Linked DNA regions of Nothobranchius furzeri. The protein of the gene in region 1 purifies or fractionates together with the protein of each later gene. This does not show direct contact. Links are inferred from orthologs where the notes say so. Each region holds a gene or a part of one and is shown on either strand. Other genes may lie near its edges.

The links.
Region 2: the proteins of ppp2r3c (region 1) and cep43 purify together in Homo sapiens (affinity purification with mass spectrometry; 3 studies listed by BioGRID and IntAct, counting the BioPlex papers as one, with this or other methods). This does not show direct contact. The link is inferred for Nothobranchius furzeri from reciprocal best matches to the Homo sapiens genes PPP2R3C and CEP43.

Annotation. Positions count from the first base shown.
Region 1 is NC_091758.1:40,633,107-40,637,549, forward strand, and holds the start of ppp2r3c (serine/threonine-protein phosphatase 2A regulatory subunit B'' subunit gamma), read left to right. Parts: upstream 1-1,478; 5' UTR 1,479-1,594; coding exon 1,595-1,661; intron 1,662-1,756; coding exon 1,757-1,881; intron 1,882-2,077; coding exon 2,078-2,182; intron 2,183-2,562; coding exon 2,563-2,675; intron 2,676-2,935; coding exon 2,936-3,033; intron 3,034-3,224; coding exon 3,225-3,295; intron 3,296-3,379; coding exon 3,380-3,512; intron 3,513-3,644; coding exon 3,645-3,700; intron 3,701-4,443. Other genes in the region: prorp (mitochondrial ribonuclease P catalytic subunit), read right to left, coding at 1-38, 211-562. UniProt on the Homo sapiens protein: May regulate MCM3AP phosphorylation through phosphatase recruitment. May act as a negative regulator of ABCB1 expression and function through the dephosphorylation of ABCB1 by TFPI2/PPP2R3C complex.
Region 2 is NC_091742.1:15,835,480-15,839,958, reverse strand, and holds the start of cep43 (centrosomal protein 43), read left to right. Parts: upstream 1-1,421; 5' UTR 1,422-1,567; coding exon 1,568-1,651; intron 1,652-4,479. UniProt on the Homo sapiens protein: Required for anchoring microtubules to the centrosomes. Required for ciliation.

The DNA.
Region 1 (4,443 bases):
ATCAGGAGGAAGGGGCCTTTCAGGAGGCTGCAGCTTTCCTGTCAAACACGTCTATTTCAGAGCAGCAAATGCAAACAATAAAATTCCTCCATAAACTATGTTGTTGCTTTTTTAAATCTGTAAACAGGGATTAAGATCTCAAAGTTACTGTTGCAGGTAGAAGACTCTCAGTAGTGTAACTATACAAATATCTGGGTATAAAAGTATTACCTGCTCCTCTGTTTGTTCTGCGTTGAGGCTCTTCTTCATCTTCAGAGACTAACGATGCTTTCTTCTGCTGAATCCTAGCTATCTTCTTTGCAGTCCCAGCAGCAAAAACAGATTTAGGAAAAGAAGGCAGCTGCCTCAAGGTGTATTTCTTACTTCTTCCATCCTCTGAATCCTGTTTATAAGTTATTTTTTTCATTCTAGATTGTCCATCACCCTGTCCACTGTTTCTTCTGTCCATCTGTCCGCCACCCAGGTTTGATTTAATGTATTGTGTGCAAAGAAAGCGTGCGGAGGAAGGCAGCAAAGGCGAGTTTAAACATAATCTGACTTTTAATATTAAATTAGAGCCCATTTTATAGTGTTTAACAGCTACCCGGCAGAGGATTTTCTGGTAAAATATATTGGTTTTTACTTCAACCCGAGATATAAATGCATAAACAAGTTTTACCAAATGAATGATTCATAAAAAAATGTACGTTTTGTTTGGAATGTAAATTGAAAAACACTGATGAGTAGAAATATCAAGTTACTTAAAACTGAAATATATCTTTATGGTTCTGCTGGATTTATAATTATATAGACATAAATATAACTTACGATTATTTAAGTACGTAAAAAGAACCATTAAATCAGCTCATTTACGGTGTTTGCGCTTGGATAAAGCATGCCTCCCAGGTCGCACATTACTGTCGTCATCAACACGAGACTAGTTCCGATGCTGCATTTTGGTACCTCAGATTTACACAGAATTTACAGAATACACCGCTAAAACGCCATTCTATTTTACAATTAGTTAGCGTTTGAAGCACGAAATGTGAAAAAGGAATGATTAATTTTTGTAAAATTTTATGTAAAACGCCCACTTACAACTGCTGCAACAAAAACAACAAAATATTTAAATTTACACATTTTGAAAGAAAGAAGAAAAATGTCATTTTTCGATTGAGAAGTATTCTGATTCTGTGGTATAATTAAGTAGAACAATAATGTTTTAACATATAAAGTAACGTTTGTTTAGGGGTTTGCGTTCAGTTTTTACATTTGGAGAAAGAAAGAAGCCCCGATTTCTCGTTTTCTGAAAAAGTGACACTATCAACATTTAGTGTTTCAAAATAAAGCTACAAAGCAAATGAAAACATTTTGTGTTGTTGAGGCTGCATCAGCATATAATCTATCTGGACAAAAAAATAATATATTTTTGTCATTCAAACGTTTAGATGTTATACATAAATTTCACGTCTTGTTTTTTATTTTGAAAACATGGCAATTAACCGGAAGTAGCTCTATTTCACTTTGACGTTGAATCTTCCTAGCTTCTTTCGTGAACTAGCTGTTTTGACGAAAAACATTATAAAGTTGATGTTAAGTTGTTTTCTCAGCCGGTATGGCTAAAGAGGAGGACTCCAACTGGGCGGATATTCTCAAGAGAAGACTCGCCAACTATAAAAAGGGTCAGAAACTGTGTTGTTTTGATGAGCTAACGTAGGCTTGTCATGTTTTGGTTTTGTTGAGTGATTTTCTGTCCGTTCTTTTCTTCTTTGAGAAGACGAGAGGAGTGAAGATGAAAAGAAAGAGGAAGAAACTGAAATGTTCACCAAATATTACACAGAATGGAGAGGAGGTGTCGATAATGACAAATCGTATAAAACCATACCACGGTTTTATTATAAGGTAGTTGTTTATTCAAATGCTGAATGGTACAATACATGTAAACAGTTTGTAGTTTCTTCATAGTTTGCTTTAGACGTACAAGATAATCTTGCAAGCTGTGTTTTAAGAGTTTAAGCTATGGAAGCAGGTCCTGGTGAGTTGATTTGAAACGATCCAGATGTTGTGAAAACATCTGTGTGATGATGATGTTTTGCAGCTTCCAGCAGAGGATGAATTGCTCCTTCAGAAGCTCAGAGAAGAATCCAGAGCCGTTTTCCTCCAGAGGAAGAGCAGAGAACTGTTAGACAATGAAGAGCTCCAGGTAAAAACAGAACTATTCAGCAGATCGTAAATGGCCTGTATTTGTTATGGCCTTCTAGAGGCCTGGAACCCTCCAAGGTGTTTTACAACACAATCAGTAATTCACATTCACACCCTGGTGGTGATGAGCTACATTGTAGCCACAGCTGCCCTGGCGCACAGTGACAGAGGTGATTCTGCCACACACAGGCCCCACCGGTCCCTCCAACCACCCCCAACCGGCAAGGTGGGTTAAGTGTCTTGCCCAAGGACACTGCAGCAGCAGAGTGAACAGGGCTCGAACCTGCAACCTTCCGATTATGGGGCAAGCACTTAACTCCTTTCCCACAGTCTCTAACAGGAAAAAAATGGTCACAGATGGATTGTGTTGTGTTTTTGTAGAATCTGTGGTTCCTGCTAGACAAACACCAGGTGCCTCCAGTGAATGGAGATGAAGCCATGATCAACTACGAAGCTTACCTGCAGGTGGGGGAGAAGGCAGGAGAAAAGTGCAGGTGAGTAACTAGGAGTTGGTTCTTCCTCGTAGAACAGGGTTCTGCACAGAGAGCTGCTCTCATTTGCACCCAAGAGTTTGATGCTTAAGTGCCTGAAAACTTTAGATTTAAGTAGGAAGACACTAAAGTATAACTGCATTAAAAGTTGCTTAAGAGCATCCTAGTTTCTGGAAACTGCAAACCTTTAATTCTTTTAACGCATTAATTAATTTCCCTTTATTTCAGACAGCTAATATATCGTACATCTGTTTGTCTTACAGAAAGTTTTTCACAGCCAGAGTTTACGGCAAACTGCTGCACAGTGACCCGTACGGCCGAATATCCATCATGCAGTTCTTTAACTACGTTATGAGGAAAGGTTTGAAAAAAGTCTTTCTTTTCTTTTCTTTTTTGACTTTTTAATGAAACAAACTGCAAAGGTTATTTGTTTGTTCTGTTAGATTAAAGGTTTCTGCGGCACGTGTTATTTATTTTAATGTTTGCTTTAGTCAGCTCCGGTGGCTTGCATGGGGCTCTCATAAGTATGGGATCATTTCTGTTCTGGTTTAGTTTGGTTGCATCAGACCCGAATTGGCCTGAGTCTGTATGATGTAGCGGGACAAGGATACCTGAGAGAATCAGTAAGAGTCAAACACCCGTTTCACTTCACACATAAATCTAATTTATTGATCTAATTGGTTGTGTGATGTTTCTCATCCCTATAGGATCTAGAGAACTACATCCTAGAGCTGATCCCGACTCTACCTCAGCTGGACGGACTGGAGAAATCGTTTTATTCTTTCTACGTCTGCACGGCTGTTCGCAAGTTTTTTTTCTTCCTCGATCCGCTTCGGACCGGTGAGTTCAGGTGATTCGTTAGTCCGTGCACCCTCGTCGACAAAGCTCAGTTTGCGTATTCTTTGATGTAAACGATGTGCAGACGTAGCGAACATTTGTGTCTCTCTAATGTAAAGAAACGTGTGTTAACAGGAAAGATTAAAATTCAAGATATCTTGGCCTGCAGTTTCCTGGATGACTTGCTGGAGGTAGGAAGTTCTTCACTCGTTCGAGTGTTCAGTAATGATCAGACACCAGTTTTGTTGTTTCAATGTTTTTTTTGGAGACTACTCAAAAAAAAAAAGTAATCCGACAATCAGAATCAGACAAAATGCAGCCTGATTGGCTTAACCTGTGAAAAGTCAGATTACTCATTAGACACTAAGGGCTGAATCACTAACACGTCTTCCGTGTAGACGTTTTTGTTTCCAGAATCATGTTAGCTTTTAACTTGCTATGCTTTCCTCCTTACTTTAAGAAGCTAAGAGGACAGAGAAAAGATAACAGATGAGAAAGAAACCTGGGTATAAAAATATTTTCCTTATTTAATTAAAACGTTGATATATTTACTCAAGCTGGTACGGGTTTCTAAGAGCTTCTATAAGCAAAAAGGCTCTCTGAAGCCAAACAAAATGAGCCTTTTAAAGAACAGAGAATTATTAGATTTCTGTCTAGGCAAAGATACCAGTATGAAGCGATTGGCACTAGAGGCTAGGAACCACTGACTCAGGCTTTAGTAGAATACCACGCAGAGGCTTTCCTCTAACCACGCGCACGTAATCACAACCGTATTGTCCAGAACGGAGCAGAAATGGAGACTACTCATGGGTTAGGAGTAGCTCCTCGGGCGTGTATCCAACGTTCCTTTTATCCTTTCACGGGAACAAAGATGAGCTGCAGGTGTGGCTGCAGCAATTCCGGAGCGGGGACCTCCCAGTGACGTCATCGGAGA
Region 2 (4,479 bases), on another chromosome or scaffold:
GCTGCAGTTTTCACACTGACGGGAGATCTGAAGATCGGGATCAGAATAAACTGAACGTCTGAGGAGCTGGTGGCTCATGCTGACTCAGAAGAAGCTGCAGATGTGGACCACATGTGGGTCAGATCTAACCAGCTTTGATGTAGAAATATTAACCGTGGCTTTATTAACACATACATGTAGATGCCAATAAAACAAATATATATAATGGGTTTGTTTTCTTTCCTAAATGAAGTTTTTTTCAGATTCTATTTAAAAATGATCCTCTCAGATCTTTGACATATAAACTCTTTCCTCTCCCCAAAAGTCTCGACCTAAAAACACAAACATGGAAATCTGAAAGACAAATAAGTTTTGAGATGAAGGAAACATTTTTAATCTTTTTTGTAAACATGAATGATTCATTTATCTGTAATTGTCCTTAACGAACTTTAAATCTTTGACTCGTTACAACAAAATGTTTCATTTATTATTTATAAATGATTTTCCCATGAACATCCAGAGCCCTGAGGACTGATGTGTATTAGTGTGTTAAAACACCAAATTAAGCTTCCTTACTAATCAAATTTCCTGCAGAAGTTCTTCTCAACCTTATATTTTAAGAACCCTTTCATAACTCAGCGAAGAGTTTTGCACCCAGTCTAAACACCCAACGTCTAACTAATGCAGAGTGCAGTTTAGGAGCTTGCTTGTCTAACTTTAGTTATTCTGTGCTCTGAGATAAGAGGTCACCTCACATTAGAAGAACCGGGCCTCGTATGGAGCAGCAGGTCAGTTCAACCTCTGGCTCCAGGACAATTAGACCATCTACTGATAGGGAAAGCCACTGACACACTTTTGTTTTTGATATGAACAACATGACGATTGAGTTCCTGCTCGCTACAAGCCCGAGGAAACAAACCTCCCAACTACCTCCAAAAATGAAATAGTTGGCTTGCCTTAAATCTTCATTAAATCTTTCAACTTTATTTCACTGTTCTACTAGTTACTGTGTGATGTCTTCCACATCTGAAAGTTCTCACCACGAGGAGGATGTTTGTCCATGAAGTAATCTAATTCTGTCAAGACTTTTTGGAGGAAAACAAATCTTGAAATAGTTCAGTCCATTGTTTAGGTGACTTGGTTAAAAACGCAGAAGTATTATTTCATTTAATAAGAAAGAAATTGGAATAAACCGGAAACTGAAATGAATCTATGCCAGTTTATCTAGCAGGTGGCACTAAAGTTCAACTTAAAGGAATAACAGAAGAAATAACCTCAGCTTCACAACAATTATTATTTACTTATTTATAAAACTATGATTAAAAATTCTAAACACGTTTAGCATTATTAGTTTAGAAAAACCAATCAATCGAAAAAAAAATGAAATGAAATAAAAATAAAAGTAAGATAAACAACAATCCACACCCCCATCCGATAGGTGGCGGTGTCGCACCGAGACGTTTAGCCGACTCGTCAGTCGTCATCCTCCGCAGCGGTTCCGTGTTGTTTATTGTGTTGTTTAATTTTGTAGAGTTGTTTGTTTGTTGTATTTTGCTGTCTAAGCTAGTCAGCGTCGGTTCGCGTCAACATGTCGGCTGCGGAGGACGACACGGAGCTGAGGGACCTGCTGATCCAGAACCTGGAGAACAGCGGGGTCCTGAACAAGCTGAAGGTCTGAAAGCTGATCTGAGAACAGATTTCTGTGTTAGCATCAGGGGCTAACAGCCTCAAGTGTCATAGTGAAGATGTCCGACTGGTTTAGAGTCACTAAATGAGGGACAACAGCGCTAGCTAACTGTTAACTAAGTTAGGTCATGTTTAACTAGACGAGAGGGGATGTGGCGTTCTGCGTAGCAGGACCAAAACTTCCCGTCTGTGAGGCTCTCCATCAGACTTCAGCAGGTTTTTAGAACAAGGATGAAGAATCGCTTTTATGGTTTGGCTTTTAACTCTCTGGGTTAGATGTTGCTGATCTTTTACATATTTTTACTTTATGGTTTTTGATTGTTTTTGGTGATTTTATCAGTTTTAATTAGTTACTCTGCAGCAGTTTGGTGGCATGCCTGTAAGGGGCTCTATATACGCACGCACTGATGTGCGGAGAGTCCGCAATCCTACCTCCCCACCTAATGGACACTTACTTATGTTGTGTGATGTCTTAAGTCTGTTGCATCTTTGCATAGCAAAGCTGCCCTCCCTGTGGAGGGTAACTCTGAAGTGCCCTTTTTTCCCTCCACCTTACTCCATCCTCATGTAACTCTCTGATCTCTATGAAGGTCGCGCGACTCGGGTTGCGAATGACCACAGTCACCAGTTCTTGTCATGTGTCTTTGCCTATGTTTGTCTGATCTCAGAATTGTGTGTACTGAAACTCAAATTTCCCTCTGGGATTAATAAAGTATCTTTGAATTGAATTGAATTATAAATAAAGATGATGATGACTGCCAGTTAGCTCCTGGTTAACTAGCTCTAGGTTTTAAAACATAAATAACAAAACAAGCATCTCTGCTCTTTATATCACTTAACATCGGTACCATGTAGAAGCAAATGAAGAAGTAACCCACTAATAACGTCTAAAACCCAACAAAACCATAAAGATAATATAAGCCCAGTTCTTTTGGGGATTATTTACTCTAGCTATTCTGAACGGTTTAAAGATTTTTTATCTCCAAGTTGTTTAAAAAAATATTTCAATCATTTTAAAATCCAATAAATGTTGAAAACCTTTTAGAAAATCCTACATTATTACTGTTTTAACCACTGAGTTTGTTTTTCAGTCTGAACTCATGACTTTAAAACAGTCTTCACAGTGGAAAGTTTAATAAAAGTCCCTGTGTGTGTGTGTGTGTGTGTGTGTGTGTGTGTGTGTGTGTGTGTGTGTGTGTGTGTGTGTGTCTGAACCGTAGGTGAAAAATCTGGTGTTTTAGTGTTTTAAGTTTTAAAAAGAACTGATTAAGGCCCACAAATATGTCAAACACAGAATGAATATACAAAAGATGATTAATGCCCAATTTGAAAATTATTATCACAAATGAGCCCCTGGATAAAAAAAAACATAACTGTTAAACCCATAAATAATAATTGTTTTAAAATGAAAACAAAAAAGATTTCTAGGAGCAGCGAAGGTGTTGAGGGAATCCGTTTTGGTGGCCCGAGGAATGAGTCTCTGTATTTTGCAGATGATGTGGTCCTGTTCATCATCAGAACCTGATCTCCAACTCTCACTGGAGCGGTTCGCATCCGAGTGTGAAGCAGCTGTGATGAAAATCAACTCCATGCTCGAGTCAGAAAAGGGTAGAATGCCTTCTGTGGGTCAGGGATGGAGGAGTTTAAGACAAGACAGCTTTATTAATTCAATTCTTTATTCAGGACAATGACATTAATAAACAATCAAATACATTGTATCGATCGTAAATGGGCCAGATTATAGCATAGTTGCTAATTTGCATCTGTAGTCTGATGGCTCATTTCCTACACAAAGGCAACTCGGTGTGCTTTACAGCAATAAGAACAGACAAGATCAACACAAAAATTAACAATGGACTACTAAAACTAGAAGACTAAAACATAAGTATCTCGGGGTCTTGTTCACGAGTGAGGGAAAACTGGAGCGTGAGATCGATAGGCGGATTGGTGCTGCATCTGCAGTGATGCGGGCGTTGTACCGGTCTGTCGTGGTGAAGAGAGAGTTGAGTCAGAAGGTGAAGCTCTAGATTTACTGGTCAATTTACGTTCCTACCCTCACCTATGGTCATGAGCTTTGGGTAGTGACCGAAAGAACGAGATCATGGATGCAAGAGGCTGAAATGAGTTTTCTTTACAGAGTGGCTGGGCTCTCCCTTAGAGATAGGGTGAGAAGCTCGGTCATCTGGGAGGGGCTCAGAGTAGACCTGCTGCTCCTCCACATCGAGAGGAGCCAGTTGAGGTGGCTCGGGCATCTGGTCAGGATGCCTCCTGGACGCCTCCCTGGTGAGAGAGGAGGCCTAAAGGTAGACCCAGGACACGCTGGAGGGACTATGTCTCTCACCTGGCCAGGGAATGCCTTGGGATTCCCCCAGAGGAGCTGGCCCAAGTGGCTGGGGAGAGGGAAGTCTGGGCCTTCCTGCTTAGGCTGCTGCTCCCTCACAACCTGACTCTGGATAAGTGGAAAAAAATGGATGGATGTTTTAAAATGAACTTTGTCCATTTTTGGTAACTAAAGAAACAATAAACATCTAATTTGATTATTTTTACATTCTAAAATCTTTCAAATTGTCTCAAAAAATGAAAAATAAATGTTGTCAATAATCCTCATCCTTTTGTCCCAGAAGAGTTAAACAGCAGTCCTTTAGTCGGGTTTAAGATGAGTACACCACATTTAGATAGAGCATATTTAAAAACAGCATGTCCACCAAAGGGCTCGAACGCCAGAGGAGGGCGATGGAAGGAATAGACAGAAGAGTAGCACCAATGTTAAACTGAGCCCTCAAAACCAAAGACCTCACCAACAGGCTGATAATA